Linked DNA regions of Canis lupus familiaris. The protein of the gene in region 1 purifies or fractionates together with the protein of each later gene. This does not show direct contact. Links are inferred from orthologs where the notes say so. Each region holds a gene or a part of one and is shown on either strand. Other genes may lie near its edges. The genes, in order: KAT7, BRPF3 and ING4.

Region 1 (5,911 bases):
GCTATAGCTAGTTGGTATGGTGGAGTGGAATTGAATGAGAGTCTTGATTCCAGGAGCTAAACTATTCTATACTATATATTTAAAAAATAATTTTTATTCATGAGAGACGCAGAAAGAGAGAGAAGGGGGCAGAAACATAGGCAGAGGGAGAAGCAGGCTCCCTGCAAGGAGCTCGATGTGGGACTCGATAACAGATCCTGGGATCACGCCCTGAGCCAAAGGCAGACGCTCAACCACTGAGCCACCCAGGCATCCCTATTCTATACTATTTTGTACCTCTATACCTGATCTTGGCCCTTTAGCTTATATTTTATTTAATAAAATAGGTATTTTACCTATTTGTCAGATTTTCTGAGGCATAAAGAGGAGGGTATACAGCTAATAAATCATATGGATAATAAAACCCAAATTTCCTTCTTCTCTAATTGTTTTATTATCTCTTAAAATTGGGGATCAGATTCCAGTCCTGTTCGAAATTTGCAATCTTTTGGCACTGAGGAGCCTGCTTATTCTACCAGAAGAGTGACCCGTAGTCAGCAACAGCCTACCCCAGTGACTCCGAAAAAATACCCCCTTCGTCAGACTCGTTCGTCTGGCTCAGAAACAGAGCAAGTGGTTGACTTTTCAGATAGAGGTGAGTGAGTATGGGATGATTTGATCAATTACAGAGAAGATCTGGTCAATTTTCTCTTAAGGAAGGCTTGGGGCCACTCTGCAGATAGATGCTTTATACTGACCAAATTCAGCTAGGTAAATGCTGTTTACCTGATTGCTTTCTTGAATATCTCACTGAGGATAGTTTTGTATTAGAGTACTCTTGAAGACTAGAGTAATTAAATTATTAGATTGGACCCATAATAGGCAAAAGGAACTGGAGCCCTTTTACCTATAGATGAAGAAAGTTTGAACCACATTTTCTTAAAGTCATGCTTGTCAGTCCACTTATCTCTGTTTTTTGAGGAGGAGTGATCTTTGGTAATGAGGGATGGTGAGCTGTTGAGATTGTGATTGACCAGCCCAAATTAGGCCTTAGAGCAGCAATTACAGACTGAGGAGCATATAGCCTGCCAATATGCTCTGTTAGTTTGCTTGCACAACGTTTACCTTTTTTTTTTTTTTTTTTAATTTATTTATTTATTTTAGAGGCAGAGATGGTGGGGGGCAGAAGGAGAGGGAGAGGTACCAACAGATTCATGTTGAGCGGAGCCCAAGGTGGGGCTTGTTCTCAGGACTCCCAAGATCATGACTTGAGCCAAAACCAAGAGTTGGACGCTTAAGCCACTGTGCCTCTTAGGTGCTTCAGTGTTTACATTTTTAGAAGTTTGTTGCCAACATTTGAAAATAGGGAATTTCACATCAAAACATAAAAACCTGGGTTACTAGTTTCTTTTTTTTTTTTTTTTTTTTTTTTTTTTTTTTTTTTTTTTTTTTTTTTTTTTTTTTTTTTTTTTTTTTTTTTAAATTTTTTTAAACTTTTATTTATTTATGATAGGCACACAGTGAGAGAGAGAGAGGCAGAGACACAGGCAGAGGGAGAAGCAGGCTCCATGCACCGGGAGCCCGACGTGGGATTCGATCCCGGGTCTCCAGGACCGCGCCCTGGGCCAAAGGCAGGCGCCAAACCGCTGCGCCACCCAGGGATCCCACTAGTTTCTTTTAAAAACTGGAAACTCTGGGAACGTGTGGTGGCCATTCACTCACAGCATTGATTACTGGAGTGGAAAAGTAGTTGTCTCCTTAAGGTGGACAGTTGGTTCTCTATTTGGCCTTGCCCAGCAAGTGTAGGCATTTGGTTTACAACCCATGATTTACAATCTGAATTGTTAGATTACTGACACGCTAGCTCAAGAGTCAGGTTCGTTCACACTCACACCAAGTCAGTCATCAAGGAGGACACCTGTTTTCATTTCTCTTCCATCCTGTGTGTCTCCTGGAAGGAGAGTTGGATAGTCATTTTAAAGAAAAATTTACTTCCATCCAGTTTTGATTACCTGTGATGGGGGGCTTATGAGAAGCACAGATAAGTGAAATATATTAGGTAAACCCCAAAAACTGGATTTTACTTAGGATGTAAAGTAGCACAAAAGAATGATGTTAATTTCATTTTCCTAGTAGCTTTATAGCAGATAAGTGGTTAAAAGTCACTGGTTAAATGATAGCCATAAACTCTTCTGAATAGTAAACCTCTAAATGAACCCCATTTATGAGCTCTCCCAATTGCTTTGCTTTAGAAACTAAAAATACAGCTGATCATGATGAGTCTCCACCTCGAACTCCAACTGGAAATGCCCCTTCTTCTGAGTCTGACATAGACATCTCCAGCCCCAACGTGTCTCATGATGAGAGCATTGCCAAGGACATGTCCCTGAAGGACTCAGGCAGCGATCTCTCTCATCGTCCCAAGCGCCGTCGCTTCCATGAAAGCTACAATTTCAATATGAAGTGTCCTACTCCAGGCTGTAACTCCCTAGGTGAGTGTGACCAGCTTTCTGACACCTGTGTTCTATGGTTTTTGCCCTCTGAAATTAGGATCATGAAGAAATGTTTCATCTTCTCTTGTGATCTAGCTCTTTAGGTTCTTCAGTGGTGCTCAGAATATCAACTGGGTTGCCCACTCAAACAAGAAGTATTTTTGCTTCTTGGTCTGTTGTCAATAAGAATAGATCTGGTTGCAAGGACATTAAGTGGGATGCACCCACCAGTTTATTGAAAGCTCCCTGTGAAAATTTCCTCCTCTTTCCTGCAAAAATAAAACCGAAGACCAGTTATCTTCAAAATGGCTTGTTGTGTGGTACATAGTTTGAGCTTAATGCAGAATATTGGTTGTATGGTTAGAGCTGATAAGGAAATGAGAAAAACAGATTTCTTCTTGCACGGCCATGAAACTAAAAGGGCACAGATGAGACCCTGGTCTTTTGTGACTTTGGTGGTTGTAGGTCTTCTATATTTGATAAATATAAACCAGACAAGTATCTCTTCTCAGATAAATGAGTATCTCAGTGTTTTTTTTTTATGACCTTTACCTTTTACTGACAGATTCTTATGATGGTTTAAACCTTATTAACGCTCCTTAAGTGAGCTTCATTCCAAGTGTTGGGCTTAAGTTTTTGTCTAGAGTTGGAAGGCACTGATTGACATTATAGGCTTTTCTCCACTGAGTCTGCTTCTCAAATCTGTGAACTTTTCAACCTGACCATCAGGTTCAGAAAAAAGAGCAGAGTAAGCTGTTGCTTTGCAGGCCCACAGTATGTTTTCCCTAGCATTTAATTTATCTGGATCTTTTCCTGGTCTTCGCACCACTCTCTCAGATAATTTCAACTCCTCAGAATGCATAGAGTATATAATAAGTTCCCCTAAACCATCACACCAGTCATCACTCAAAGAAAAGAATTGTTTCAGGCCTAAATCAGTATCCTTGGGTAAATGATGAAAAACTAAGAATAGACATCATCATATAAACATTAGTATTTAAGAGCTAGCTAATGTACTTTAAGATGGTAAGGGGATCTACTTTTCATATGGCAAGGGAAGAGACTCAAGCTCTGCTAGTCACTATCCATGCTTCCCTAAATTGTTACTTTTATGTACTCTGTTTGCCACATACCAGACACCGTTTGAGTTTCTGGGGGTGTAGCTGTGAACATGTCAAACAAAGTTCCTACTGTCATGGAGCTTATAGTCTAATTGGGAAAGGCAAGACAGGTGGATACATAATACGTCAGCTTAGAGATACTTCCTTGAAGGAAAATGAGGGAGTGCTGAGAGGGTAAGGTATTGTGCATATATACAAACCATACACACACAAACAGGTGGTAAGGGTATGGGACACAAGAATGCTTAAGCAGTTTGAAGCACACTTACGGGCCAATATGCCTAGGACAGAGCAACCAGAATGGATAGGAGGAGATGAGGTCTGCGTTGGACCTGACGGTATGTTATTTATGCTCAGTCCTTAACCTCCTTGGAGTAGATGAAAGGATAAATATAAATCTGTTGCATCAGAGGAAAGTTTACTTTGACTTCTCGTATTAATATACTGGCAAAGTTTGAAACATATGAACCTGAACTTCCAAAATTATTTTTTGATAAGGGGTGCCTGGCTGGCTTGGAGCATGCAACTCAATTTTAGGATCATGAATTCAAGCCCCATGTTGTTGGGCATAGAGATTACTGAATTAAAAAAAAAAATCCATTGCTGAAATTGTCTTTGATCCTGTTCCACTCTTTATGTTCAGCAAAATAATGTCATTAATTTTTTTTTTAATGTCATTAATTTTTAAAAATAATTTTGGTGTAAAAGTATTCTGTGCCTGTGAAAACTGAAAACCCTACAGGGAGCCTTGAAATGCATAAGTAAAAGTTTTCCTTTATTCATATCGCCAGATATAAAATTATTCTTGGGGGTTTTTTATGAATGGTTCTAGCAAGTGTGCATGTGTGTGTAACACATTTATACACACACACACATATATATATATATATATATATATATATATATATATATATATATTTCTTTTGTGTTATCGCAAAAGGGAAAATATAATGGTTGGTTTCGCATCTTAGATATTTTACTTTACTGGGATGCCTGCGTGGCTCAGTGGTTGAGCATCTGCGTTCGGCTCAGGGCATAATCCAGAGTCCCGGGATCGAGTCGGACATCAGGCTCCTTGCGTGGAGCCTGCTTCTCCCTCTTCCTGTGTCTCCACCTCTCTCTCTCTCTCTCTCTCTCTCTGTCTCTCATGAATAAATAAAATCTTTAAAAAAAAAAAAAAAAGATACTTAGGGTTCCATCTGTTTAAAGAATACAGAGAATTCATTACATTGATAGTTTATAAATTTTATATTTTTATTTTTTAATAAAGATTTTATTTATTCATGAGAGAGAGAGAGAGAGAATGAGAGAGAGAGAGAGGTAGAGACCCAGGCAGAGGGAGAAGCAGGCTCCATGCAGAAAACCCGATGTGGGACTAGATCCCGGGTCTCCAGGATCACGCCCTGGGCCAGAAGCAGGCACTAAACCACTGAGCCACCCAAGCATCCCATAGTTTATAAATTTTTAAAATTGTCCAGTATGGATTGACATTTAGATTATTTCTCATTTTATCTATTTTGAATAATACTGTAATGGAAGCATTATATGTATGTATTTTAGTGTCTTGCTAGAAAACCTGTAGGAATAAATTTATAGCAGAATTGCTAGATCAATAAATTAACTGTTCCTTTTTAACACTTTTAATATAGACACATTAAATTGGTTTTAGTTCATATATTCTAAAATAAGACATGACTTGAATAATTTACCCAGAAGTTATAGATACATAATATTTTAGAAATATCTATAGAAGTATGTCTAAGAAATATCTATAGAAAAAGGAGGGTTTCTATAACATTGACACTTTACATTTTATAATGATGTTGGATTACTGAGGGTAGTTTTTTCTATGCAAGATAAATTGAATGGATCTCCAAAAATCACATTTTTAATAATATAGTCCTGGAGAAATGGCAATCTACATATCATGTATTGATTCCTTTCTCCCCCAATATGTGAATTATTTTCATTCTTTAAAGCTTACTCTAAATCATGTATGACTTTTTAAATCCCATATGATTTTTTAAATCCCGCTGTCTTCATTAACCAGAAGTTTTGTAAACCCTTTGGTTAAAGAAACTTATAAAAAGGAAATAATGTTCAGTTCCCTCTGTGTTTCCCAAAACCACATGAAAAATAGAAAAGTGAAGAGGTATATCCCTTAGATAAAATGAGCTTTCTATATTATTGCTATTAATGTCCTCTCAATAAGAGTGCCTTGTGGTAACTTCCTATTTATTTCAGTGTTTAGTTTTAGGTGTACAATATAATGATTCAGCAATTCTATATATTACCCAGAGCTCGTCAAGATAAGTGTAC
Region 2 (5,911 bases), on another chromosome or scaffold:
TGCCCAAGAAGAACAAGATGGCTTTGAAGCAGAAGATCAAGAAGGAGCCAGAGGAAGTGAGCCGAGATACACCCTCCACTGTCCCCATGGTCACTGTCCCACAGATACCTTCTTATAGGTAAGCCTGCCCAGGAGGGCTCCCCGTGGACTGATAGTCTCTTCTTGGGTTGGTGTTGGCCCTGAGCCAGGAACTCTTTCCCCAAGCATGGTTGGTGAATGTTTGTTCTCTTCTGTGCCTTCTCCTTTGGGCCCCAATCTGGTTTGTGGTTTTGATTTTGCCTTGAGAGCAATGTATTTCCTGTGCTTTAAGGTGAGACAGTTAAGTGGCTTAGAAACCCAGGTGAAGGGTGTCTAAGGCAATATTTTCAACAGGTGCACAAGTGACATTTGAGACAGGATAATTCTTCACTATTAGGACTGCCTCATACATTCCTCAATGTTTAGCATCCCTGATCTTTGTCCGTTAGTGCCATTTGCATCCCCTCCCTCATTGCTTGGTCTTTGTGACCGTCTCAAACACTCCCCACATATGTTACCAAAACCTCCTGTGGTGATAGAAGTGAGAACCACACGACTGCTGTCCAGAAAGCTCTGTCTGGGAATGATGGGGACTTTGTGTGAGGGAGTGGTGGTGTGGGGAAGACATGATCTTTCTCTTCTTGAGAAGCTTCTAGATTTAGGGGAAAGGATCACTTGGTTCAGTTGTATAGCTAAGCCACCTTGGTCCCCAGTGAGTCTTATAGAGAGACCATTGTACTTATTTTTAACCATCAGAGAAGTAGCTGTTGGAGGGCAGAAAAGCAAGAGACTGGAAAGATTTTCCAGTAGAAGCTCATCTCAAGGGTGATATTCTTTAGAAAGTATACAGTGTTGGAGCAGAAAGGAATATTGGAAATTATTCATCTAATGTAGTCCTTGCACCTTCTCCCACACCCCCAGATGAAGAATCTGCAGCCACAGGAGGTAAAGTTGTTCATGCCTTTGTTCATTCACTGAGGTGTTTATTGAGTACTTACTATATGCCAAGTCCTGTTCAAAGGGCTGGAACCAGGTGGGAAGCTATAGAACCTGACCACAAGCTGGGGCTCATGATGCCATCAGTCTCTGTTCCTGCTGTTTGCCTTCTCTTGTTGAAAAGGATAGGGAGAAGTGAGTGCTGGAGGGTAGCAGGGAATGAGTTGTAAGGGGAACAGGCAACCAGACTTGTCAGTCTGGGAAGGAGAAAAAGAGCAGAGAAGGGCAGGAGGGAGAGGCTCCTATGGCGAACTATGGCTGGAATTAGAATTCAGTCAACTGGAAATGACTTGTAGTCACAGAGCTGTTGTAGGCTCTTCTCTGATGTTGAGTTGGTCCATGCTTAGAAACATTTGTAGGGTGGCTATGCCCTGGGACTAGTCTCTTTGGTTGTCACATCTGCTCTGATAGATGTGTCTTACAGGGGTCAGCATAGCATGCTGGCTTAGAAAACAGACCAACCTGCTTTTGAATCCTGCTCCTGTTGCTAACTACCTGTGTGACTTTTGGCAAGTTACTTCTTTGAGCCTTATTTCTTTCTAAATGAACCTCATAGGGTTGTTGTGAGAAATGAAGGAGATGATATAAATAAAGCACTTGGTACAGTGCCTGGTAAATAGTAAGCGCTCAATAAATGGTGGCTGCTGCTGCTGTTTTATTCTTCTTCTTCCTCTCTCTACCTACACAAATGCTAGGGGGACACTCCATGGCCAAGAGGTTATAGAGGGAGGGGGCTGCCTGCATCTGGGCAGGTATGCTTGGCATGGGCATTGGTGGGGATTTCTTCTTTGGGGAAAGGCTTAGATCTTGATTTTGTAAGCTTGGCTTTGGGGCAAGAATGTCTGTGGAAATGCATAGGGCACTTAACTTCCTTTCAGTGGATAGAGATGAAGAGAAAAAGTGGGGGGCACACAACAGGAGTATTGAGGCCTTGCTTATTACTCTTACTCTGTGAATAACCAATTTGGGGACACAGGGTGCTGTAGCAGAGAGATCACGGATTCAAATCCCATTCAGCTCCACCATCCTTCTGGCCACATTAGTGACTTTGACAGTTCATCCAGCCTCTGTTCCTAAGCTGCCTTTCCATCTTTTGTTACCATGAGACTGATGTTACCCACCTTGCAACAGGACTATTAGGATAAAGATTATAGGCTCTTATTAATTCCCTCCCCTTTTGCCTCTACCTCTCCCACCTGCCACATATTATTAAGTCCTGACCTTAAGACTTCTCTATTGGGTTAATTGAGCCAGCTAAGTTTTCAGATTCTCCGTCCTCTTATCCAGTTTTTTCTTTTCTTGTTTGTTTCAAAATTAGACACTTTTAGGCTGCTGAGATCGTTAATGAAAAACCAGAGGTCAGACGGCTCTGAAGTGTTGCATTTGAGCTCAGAGAGCCATAGCCTGGCGTACTTCTAGTTTTCCTTCCAGCTTGCTTGTGGACTATTCTCTGGTCTGGGGGGACCCTCAGCCACAGGGCGCAGGAAGTAGTGACCACATTGCCCATAGCTTACTCAAGTTCCTGCTCTCTTTTCCTGCCTATATCAAGAGTTCAGGGCACAGGCCTATTTCCCAGGAGTCTAGGACCACAGGAAACAGGGTTCCTGGGAGAGAGTTCTTCTGGAGAATCAGGACTGTAAGATAGGGGGGTGGAAAATCAAGTGATACATCTATCACATGCTGAATCCGAGCTGCTTAACTTTGCTTTCTTTTTTTAAAGCCTTTCTCTGAGGTGAGGCAATTGGCCACTTGATTCCATCTTCTTTCATATGTAAGGTTCAGAAATGAGCTAGGGTCTGAAGAGGAGGCTGTGATCAGGGCTGCCCACTGACCTTGTCTTTCACTTCCCTGTGCCTCTACTCAAGGTTGAACAAGATCTGTAGTGGTCTCTCCTTTCAGAGGAAAAACCAGTTCATACAGCGGCTTCACAACTATTGGCTATTGAAGCGGCAGGCACGGAACGGCGTCCCTCTCATCCGACGCCTGCATTCCCACCTGCAGTCCCAAAGAAATGCTGAGCAGGTAGGTGAAGTGATTGAAGGTGGTGGAGGAGGTGGAGAGTGAAGGAGGAGGAGGGATGGTTGGGTCACCACTCCCTGAGCCCTCTGTAGAGCCTTTGTGTCAATAGGCAGTCACACTTCCAGATGGCATCTCCCAGGAACGACCTCCAGCACTGTAGAGCTCTTGGTCCCAGACAGCAGCTCCTCCTGGATGGGAGAGGGTTGATTTTGGAGCAAATTCTAGAAGAGAGTAGAGAGCAAGCCCAACTTCCAAGTATGTGGGGAAAACCTGTAGACATGGCAGAAAGGAAAAAATGGGTTTAATGAGGGCCAGGTGGCCATGTTGCATAAATTAGGACAAGGAGCATTTTTCTTAAGACACTGTACTGACATCTGCCAGAAAATGTTTTGTAGAAAACATGCAAATGTGCCATCTAAGTTGTAGCACAGAGCCTGGCCAGTTGTGGTGACCTTTTAGCCGTGGAACCTTGGTTGGAGGTCTCCTGAGAGACTTTTTTTTTCCCCTTTTTTTAACCGTCTTTAGTTTTTTCTCCCTCCTCACTTGCTCCATTACTTCTGCCTTTAAATATTTCCACACTATCACCGCAAAGATGAAGCAATCATTTACGTGACTCTGATGCCCTCTAAGTTCTGTCTGATTTCACTTTTGCCTTTTGTAACTAAAGTCCTGAAGTGTAAGTCTGTGTCTCCTCCCTCCTTGAGGTGGGGAGGATTGCCTGCTCCCCTGTAGCCTCCTTTGGAACGTCAACCACCTCCTCCCAGCCCAGCAAGCCTTACCTCACATTCTCACCGTAGTGGCCGATGGGCTGCATTTTCACCATGGATCACTCTTAGAGCTTCTCCATGACCCCATATCCCTCCTTCTCCACCTGGCTGACTGCACCTTGTGCTGACTTGACCTGTTACTCCTCAGTAGTAACATTCCCAGGGCTCTGATGCCTGCCCGTTTGCTGGGAGAGCTCGTGCACTCTCATAGTTGTAAATAAGCGTGGTAATAGCTCCAGATTTCTTGTCCTCATCCCTTTTCTCTGCCTGTAGTCCCTCTGGGGCAAAGGAACTGCAGATGTCCATGTAGATGTTGTTTCCTAGAATTCAGATATCGGAAACTGAATTCTTTATCTTTCTTCCTCTTGGTAAACTTATTTCTCCATTATTATTCTTTTTTTAAAGATTTATTTATTTGAGAGAGCGAGAGCAGAGGGAGTGGCAGAGGGAGAGAGTCCTTAAGCAGACTCCCCACTGAGCACAGAGCCTGACATGCAGCTCAACCCCACGAGACCATGGCCTGAGCCAAAATCAAGAGCTGGACACTTAACTGCCTGGGTGGCCACCCAGGCACCCCTGCCCATTATTGACATGGAACCTTCTGCCTCCTGACCTCAGACATTCCCCATCTTGGAGTTACTTTTGATTCTTTCCTCCATAACAAGACACAGTTAATCATCCCTTATGCTATTTGGGGCCAGTTTATTGGCATATGGTCTTTTGTCTCCATTCTACAGCTCACCCGCTCACCCAAATTCCCATAATTTCAGCAATAGCTTTCGGGTAGTCTCCCGCCTCTAATTCTTTCTTTGCTGTTCAACTGATACTGTCTTACACACCATTTTCCAGAATCTATTCCTTTTCCAGAACATAGTCCCCCTCTCCTGGCAGGCCACATGCAGGTTCCTTTGCCTGGAGTTGAAGCTTCTTACCAGCTAAATCCTGGAGCTTCCTTGGCTACTGTGGTTCTCCAGCCTCTCTGCTCTGGCCGGGCCATTTTTTCTTTCTTCTTTCTTTTTTTTTTTTTTACCAAGCAGAGAGTCATTTTTTTCTGCCTTCACACTTCTTCCCTGTGGTCCCTTTGGTTCTAGCAGAGGCCTTTCTTACTGCTTTGTTCACCTATGTCCATCACTACATGTGAAATCCTAGTAAGATTGCTTCTGTGGGAAGCCTTCCCTGACCTAAAATCAACCCTCTCAGATCCTCTTTATTTATCTTCTCAACATTTTATATTCAGTTTACCTTTGGGTTTTTATTATGTTTATGCTACTGTGCCCTTGTGTGTCCAACCCTGGGCCTCTTCCTTCCCCCAACTCTAACCTCTTTCTAGGGCAGGAATCACTTTTTTGAGTACTTGTAGTGTTTTAAAGTATGTTCAAGCCAGCTAGTACAAGCTGGTAATAAGAATTTTACTTTGTTTTTTAGACAAGTGGCAGCTTTAGGATGAAATTCTTTCTACCTCGAGGTATTGGTTTCCTTCTGAAATTCTTTTCCAGCCCTAAGGGGCACAGCTCCACCACCCCCCTTGGTATCCTCAGGAGGAGGGGAAGTCGTCCCAGCTCTCACTCCAGTGGTGCTTATTGTGGGGCAGTTAAGAAGCATTGCTGGAAGGCTAAGGGAGTGCAGGAGAAAGGCATGGGGCAGAGAGGGCAGAAGGGCTCTCAGGAACATGGGTCAGCCAGGGTGTGGGGCCCTTACCTGCCGAGGCCCTGTGAGGCTAGAATAGGGAAAGGGCTCTGGACAGGAAGCGGGCCTCCAGCAACTCCTTCCTCTCCCTTCCTTCCTGCAGCGAGAGCAGGACGAGAAGACAAGTGCAGTGAAGGAAGAGCTAAAATACTGGCAGAAGCTCCGGCACGACTTGGAGCGGGCGCGGCTGCTGATTGAGCTGATTCGGAAAAGAGAGAAGCTCAAGAGGGAACAGGTGAGGAAGATCCCCCAGCCTCAGGGCTTTTGTTCAAGATCTTTTTCTCCTACTGTCAGTGTGGCATGGAGAAAGCCAGGAGATCTGCCTGGTGTCTGCTTCCTCCCCTTCCTGCTCATCACTGTGGGCTCCAAGACCTGCTAGTCTGTACTGGGTATGGTGCTGCACATGGCTTCTAACTGCGGATTCA
Region 3 (6,611 bases), on another chromosome or scaffold:
ATACAAAGGAAGCAAGCTGGTTCTCAGCATTCAGCAGGCAGTTCTCGGGGGTCTAGACCCAGGATTTTCCATGATGTTCACCTTTTCATGAGTAAACTTACCCAGAGTAGCTGAAATCACAGCTTTAGGTATTATAACACCAGCCTGTCATATCCTTAAGCATGGCTACATAAGGACGGAAGATAAGACATAGGTCTTATATATAGATATCCTTTAGCAGGTATGGGGGACGGCTCCAAAAGATGATATCTTTGCCCCTGAAGAGACCAATCTGACCACTGTAGTGTAGTCTTAGGCTCTAAGTGAATGCCTCAACGCAGCCAGATTTGCTCAACATCCAAGGAAGGCCACAGATGGTATCTAGTGCTTCTATAAGGTTGAAGAATACAGTGTAGAGATCCTGTTGTTAATTGCTACTTTTTCTTCGTTTTTTCTTTCTCTCTTTCTTTCTTTCTTTTTTTTTTTTTTTTTTCTCTCTTTCTTTCTTAAGAGCTTCTCTACCAACATGACTTGTGGTCTACAGCCACACTGAATTTTTTTTTTTCCACACTGAATTTTTTTTATAGTAACATTAACAATCCAGTGGGGTAGAAACATCCCAGTCTTCCTATAGATATATTGAATATAGAGAATAGAAATGATTCTAGAGTTGACTTCTTTTTTAATTCCTCTCGCAGATACAAAGAACATAGCATCCTTGAATTCTTGAGGCATCATCACAATACTCTACTTATTATGGAAAAGCTGATCTAGAAGTGCAAATCTTCACCGTTCTCCTTTTAAGAATATAAGAGAGTAAAAAAAGAGGAGCCACAGTTCCCCAGTTCAGACCAGATGATACAGTAACATCAAAGAGAAAAAGAAGTGATCGTACAATCTCATTATACACTCAAAATCCCTACTCTATACATACCCTCTGTTCTTTGGTCCAGGTCCCTCATGAGCTGAAAGTTTCTCTGCAGTTCGAAGGGAAGGTTTTCGATACCTAGGGAGAAGAAAAACTGAGAATCATGGCACTTCATAGGCCTGATAGCTGATTTTATTTTATTTTTCTTTTTTTTTTTTTAAACATATTTTTTTTAATTTTTATTTATTTATGATAGTCACAGAGAGAGAGAGAGAGAGAGAGAGAGAGAGGCAGAGACACAGGCAGAGGGAGAAGCAGCCTCCATGCACCGGGAGCCCGACGCGGGATTCGATCCCGGGTCTCCAGGATCGCGCCCTGGACCAAAGGCAGGCGCCAAACCGCTGCGCCACCCAGGGATCCCCTATTTTTAAAAGATTTTATTTATTTATTCATGAGAGACACACAGAGAGAGAGGCAGAGACACAGGCAGAGGGAGAAGCAGGCTCCATGCAGGGAGCCTGACGTGGGGCTTGATCTGGGGACTCCAAGATCACACCCTGGGCCGAAGGCAGGCGCCAAACTGCTGAGCCACCCAGGGATCCTGGGATAGCTGCTTTTAAAGTACAGGTCCAGTGGGACTCAGTTTCCCTTCCTTGGAACAGTTGGATTTATCTGGAACAGCACCCATCATTGCTTTGTCAGTGGAGGCTGTGTTTGCATCTCTGCACAATTAACTCTGCCACCTCTTTACAGCTTTCCCATCACTTGCCCCTTCAGTGACCTTACTTTACCAATCAGTCCCTCCTTTTCTTGTACTCCTCCAAGCTCCTTGCCCTCAATCTTGTATTCCTCCAAGCTCCTTCCCCGCAATCCAGATACCTACCTGGTATCTGATGAGTGGAACCTTCCACTCATCACACACGCATACTTCTAATCTCTTTTCTATATAGTAGTCAGAATGTTCTCTTAAAAAAATGCAAATCTCACCAAGTCCCCCTCTTTGCTTTTATAACTAATAACTTCTATCACACAATTCCTGTTCCTATTTTGTACTTTCTGCCCCATGCTCACCTTACTCCAGCCTTGATTCAGGTCAATCCCCCTGTGTGCCGTCTGCTCTAATCATGCTGGCCTTCTCTGAGTGCCCTCAACCTGCCAGGGCTCATCCTGCTCCCCAGCTTTCCAAGCACTGCCTTCTCTGTCCAGAATGCACTGCTTGGTGTTCTTCATCCCACCTCCACCATACCTCTTTTCCTACTGAATTCCTGTTCATTCTTCAAAGTTCAGCTCAACTCTGACTTCTCCAGACTCCAAGTGCCCTGGATTATGCTGTCAAGTTATTCTAGCTCTACCCTTTTGGGCACTTATCCAGCTGTGGTTAAGGAATTAGTTGTGTAACCGGTTATTTGGTATCTATCTCCCTAACCCTCCAGAAGGACTGCTGGTTATTTGGTATCTATCTCCCTGACCCTCCAAAAGGACTGGACACATCTAGCTTCTCTCTCATTTTACTATGACTCGAGTACAGAGGGTCTTCAATAAATACCTGAATAAAGACATATATACTTAAGTCTCTCCATAAAAGAAAAAATCTCTTCCCATGACAGCATTTCAAACTTCTAAAATAGCTCCAGGGATCCCTGGGTGGCGCAGCGGTTTGGCGCCTGCCTTTGGCCCAGGGCGCGATCCTGGAGACCCGGGATCGAATCCCACGTCAGGCTCCCGGTGCATGGAGCCTGCTTCTCCCTCTGCTTATGTCTCTGCCTCTCCCTCTCTCTCTCTCTCTCTCTCTCTATCATAAATAAATAAAAAAAAAATTTTTAAAAAAAAAGATAAAAAAAAAATAAAATAGCTCCAAAACAAATGATCTTTTATATGTCCTATCTTAAAAAATACATCTGCAGCAGTTGGCACCATCTTCTGTCCTTCAGTAACTTTCTTCCTCTTAGGATTCCAAATCTCACCCTATACTTTCTGATAATTCCAACAGTGACGTTTTGCTAGCCTGTCCCTTAAATGCTAATGTTTTCTTGGGCCTATACTTTAACCCTCTCATTTCCCACTTTGCTTGTATTCCCTGAATGATCTCGATCTCATTCACTCTCATACAATCGCCATGCCTGTGCTTAAGTTTAAATTGAGTTAGGTGTATTGCTGTTACTCCTGAATTCCCTATCTTGCTGAAGGTATCCTATCTACCTCACCTCCCAAGCAGGAAATCAAGGAGGCACTTTGTATTCTTCCTTCTCTCTCAACTACCCAGCCATTTCATCTGTCCCTTTAGCTCCTAAAGACTTCGGTCACTCTCTGAGACCTGAACTTACCATACATCAGTTATTTTCCTTTATTGAAACCTGTTTTTAAAATCTGTTGGTTCCTGACTATCTACAGTGTGCAAGCCTCTTAGCTTGGCTTAAAAGACCTTGCACAACCTAGCTCCCACCTCCTTCTCCAGGCTCACTTGCCAATCGTCCACCTTAAGAGTCCTATACAGCAAGCACTGACTTCACTATTCCTTGACCTGCCACAAACCCACCACAATACCTTTGCTGATGCTTTCCCCAACCAGCAGTTTCCTTTCTTTCTTCACACTGGCAAACACTCGATCTTCAAAACTCTATTCAAACATCACATCCTCTGGTAAAGTTTTACCTACGTCCCCAAGTAATTTGCCCCTCTTTCTCCAGTGCTACCAACTGTCCTTGTAATGTACTTCTATTATTTCACTTGTCAGTTTTATAATTATTGATTAGCAGAATCTGTTTCCTCCTAAACTATAAGCACTGGAGGGCAGGGTCTGTGTCATCATTTTGGTATCTCCGCAGTACTTGCCATTATGTCTGACCCAGAGCAAGGCCTCAATAAATGAATGAATGAATGACTCTCAATACTAAGACAAATGTAAGCGCATAAGGGTGACAGGCTTTGTGAAGGGGTGGGTTACACAAATGGCATAAGCGTAGCACCAGATTTCCATTTGGTAGGAATTGGAAGAAGAGAAGCGTTCCAGTTTATCATCTGACAGTAGTCACTAACCACCCCCGATCCCCACTGAAAAACCGTTTCTGAGAAAGAACAGAGCAGAGAAGCTGCGAGCAAGTCTTTGGCACTGCTCCAAATGGCAGTGGGTGATACACTAAAACGACCGATCCTGAAGGATTGGGGGGGGGGGGTTGGGGGGATGGATATCCTGAGGCTGGAGACCCTGGAGATGGGGTCGGCAAATACCTTCCCGGCTCTGCCCATTAGCCCCTCAAGAGACACCCCCCTCAGCCCTACCGCGCAGCCCCTCCCTCGTCTACACCCAAAAGCCAGGCCTCGACCCTGCTGCCCCGCCCCCTCTTTCTTCACACCCTTCAATATTTTCTTTCACGGAACCCCTTCACAATTGGGACTTTCTGACCACCGGGACTTCGGGGCCGTACAGCAGCTCAGCCCCGACCCCCCCCCCACCACTCTATGACCCCTGACCCCCTCCTCCAGCCTGCTCTTACTGTCCAGATAATGTTCCAAATACATCCCCGCAGCCATCTTGAAGCAAAACAAAGCAACTTCCGATCCGCCCCGGAAGTGACTGAAACGCAACAGGCGCTGAAGCTATTATCCGTGGGTTGGAGCCTTTCCGCCCTTAAAAGGAGAGCTTCCGCCCTCAGTCAATTATCCGCGGGGACACATCCGCCCGACGTTAAAACTTTCCCTTTTGCGTAGGTAGCCGGGGCTGCGGGTGCCGAGGCGCCCTGAGGTGGCTCTAGCCCGCTTCCGCCCTTACTGAGGCCCCGGTACGCGACCGAGGCAGGCATGACGTCACTGCGGGTCGCCATTTTGCATTCCCTATCAAACTTTTTTTTTTTTCCCTCCAAAACGGAGATGTGGGGTTATGATGGGAAACCAACCCTCATCCCACCCACCCCCACCGCCCCCACCCCCGTCTCTTTAGGATTGTGGTCCAGAAATACCGCTTTTTAGCGAATGGGGACTCTTCTCCTTTTTACAGGATATTAATCTAATGACCACAGCAGGTCCTGGCTGAGCCAAGACTTCCTTCAAGGTAGCTAGTATCTTAACGAAGTTGGAGAGGCCTAGCTGGTGCTGCGAGATTGAAACCATTCGCATTTCTGTTCACTCGCCTGAGCGTCAGCTCACCGGGATAATTTTTTTAACATGGAAAAAAAATAATTGTTTATAAAATCTACATACTAAGCCTTACACAATAAAGCTGTAATTCTCCAAGACTCTTGCCAGGGTTCCTGGCCTTTTATCTTTGATTACATTCTCGTATAAAGTGACATAGTACTTCCAGCCTTGCCCTCTTCTTTTCTTATACTTCCACCACCACCACCACCCCCCACCCCCCACCCCCCCCGCCACCCTTCCGCTGTTTTTGTTTTCCAGTTTATATCTGATGTTAACTAGCACCATGGCTGTCACAACCGGGCCAGCTCCCATCCTGGTACTAGGATGGGTACCAGGATGGGCTCCACTAGGGTACAGTGAGGTCTCTATATGGGGACGGAAACCAGTCCAGAGCCTGACAGGCTGCCACCACACTGGAGAAGCAGCTCAAAGCCCATAGCCTAATAGTGGTATTAGTAAGAAAGCTTTTGGAGGCTGTTGTCCTTCCTAACTCACATATTCGTGACTGTTGTCAATGCCACAAGGCAACGTTTTAATGAAAGATTTTTCAGCCACCTGATTTGGGCCAAAAGTGTGAAGAAGGATAAGATGAAATCTCAGGTTTAGTGGTAGGATGCAGTAGTTGGATCTAGAAGACTTCACTCCAAGTGTCTTGACCCCGGATATGGTAAACTTCTGTGCTTATGTCCTGCTCTGTAAAATGGAGACTAGTAGTACCTACCTCATAGAGTTCTTGCAATGATTGTGAGTGAATCCTTTAGTAGATTCTGGTTCTATTACCTGTGGTGAAGACAGGGCTGTCAGGGCATTTTCAGTGATTGATGAAGAGCAGGGGGAAAAAAGTATTCAGAAGCTAGCAAGACATTGACAGATTTCGTCTCAGGTAATACATTCATTAGACTCACACTGCAGATTGAGAGGTATTGGATGCCTCAATACCCAAGAGACCAGCTGAGCCCAAAACTTAAGTAGGCATGATTTCATGGACTATCCACATTCTTCTTGGTAATGGGCATGGTTGCCCAGCAGTATACAGAAGACAGCCATGTGAGTCAATGTTAGAGCTTTGTCAACCTTTTCAGTGCTTAATGGCTTTTAATATCCCAAAATGAACCTTGGAGGCTATCTAGTCTTGGACGCCTCTCAGTGACCACTGGTTGGCAGTAGAGCCAGGGCTGAAAAGTTGAGGTTTCCTGACTACTTCTACTTCTCAGCACGACTGTCCTGCATTGTTACTCAGTTCTGGTTATGGCTTCCATCATTGCAAACCTATGGATATGGATAACAAATGTATGCACACTGTGCCAGCTGGAATTAGCACTGAGCCTGGTGATGCTCAGGCAGGAGTATAGGCCCTTTCAAGAGAGCACGCTTCCATTTCTTTAATGGGGAGCTTAGTGGTTTATTAACACGATTGAAATCTTGCTCTCATAATATGTAGGCATTGCAGGCCACAAACAAGATTTTAGAAACCCTCATAAACTGGGAATTCCTGGGTGGCTCAGCGGTTTAGCGCCTGCATTCAGCCCAGGGCATGATCATGGAGTCCCACATCAGGCTCCCTGCATGGAGCCTGCTTCCCCCTCTGCCTGTGTCTCTGCCTCTCATGAATATATAAAATCTTTAAAAA

What was found.
Region 2: the proteins of KAT7 (region 1) and BRPF3 purify together in Homo sapiens (affinity purification with mass spectrometry; 3 studies listed by BioGRID and IntAct, counting the BioPlex papers as one, with this or other methods). This does not show direct contact. The link is inferred for Canis lupus familiaris from reciprocal best matches to the Homo sapiens genes KAT7 and BRPF3.
Region 3: the proteins of KAT7 (region 1) and ING4 purify together in Homo sapiens (affinity purification with western blotting; 6 studies listed by BioGRID and IntAct, with this or other methods). This does not show direct contact. The link is inferred for Canis lupus familiaris from reciprocal best matches to the Homo sapiens genes KAT7 and ING4.

What each region holds. Positions count from the first base shown.
Region 1 is NC_049230.1:25,798,121-25,804,031, forward strand, and holds part of KAT7 (histone acetyltransferase KAT7), read left to right. Parts: intron 1-457; coding exon 458-634; intron 635-2,231; coding exon 2,232-2,471; intron 2,472-5,911. UniProt on the Homo sapiens protein: Catalytic subunit of histone acetyltransferase HBO1 complexes, which specifically mediate acetylation of histone H3 at 'Lys-14' (H3K14ac), thereby regulating various processes, such as gene transcription, protein ubiquitination, immune regulation, stem cell pluripotent and self-renewal maintenance and embryonic development.
Region 2 is NC_049233.1:5,498,158-5,504,068, forward strand, and holds part of BRPF3 (bromodomain and PHD finger-containing protein 3), read left to right. Parts: coding exon 1-118; intron 119-2,879; coding exon 2,880-3,036; intron 3,037-5,589; coding exon 5,590-5,721; intron 5,722-5,911. UniProt on the Homo sapiens protein: Scaffold subunit of various histone acetyltransferase (HAT) complexes, such as the MOZ/MORF and HBO1 complexes, which have a histone H3 acetyltransferase activity.
Region 3 is NC_049248.1:7,719,216-7,725,826, forward strand, and holds the start of ING4 (inhibitor of growth protein 4), read right to left. Parts: upstream 4,432-6,611; 5' UTR 4,379-4,431; coding exon 4,342-4,378; intron 4,263-4,341; exon of another isoform or gene 4,201-4,262; intron 986-4,200; coding exon 914-985; intron 1-913.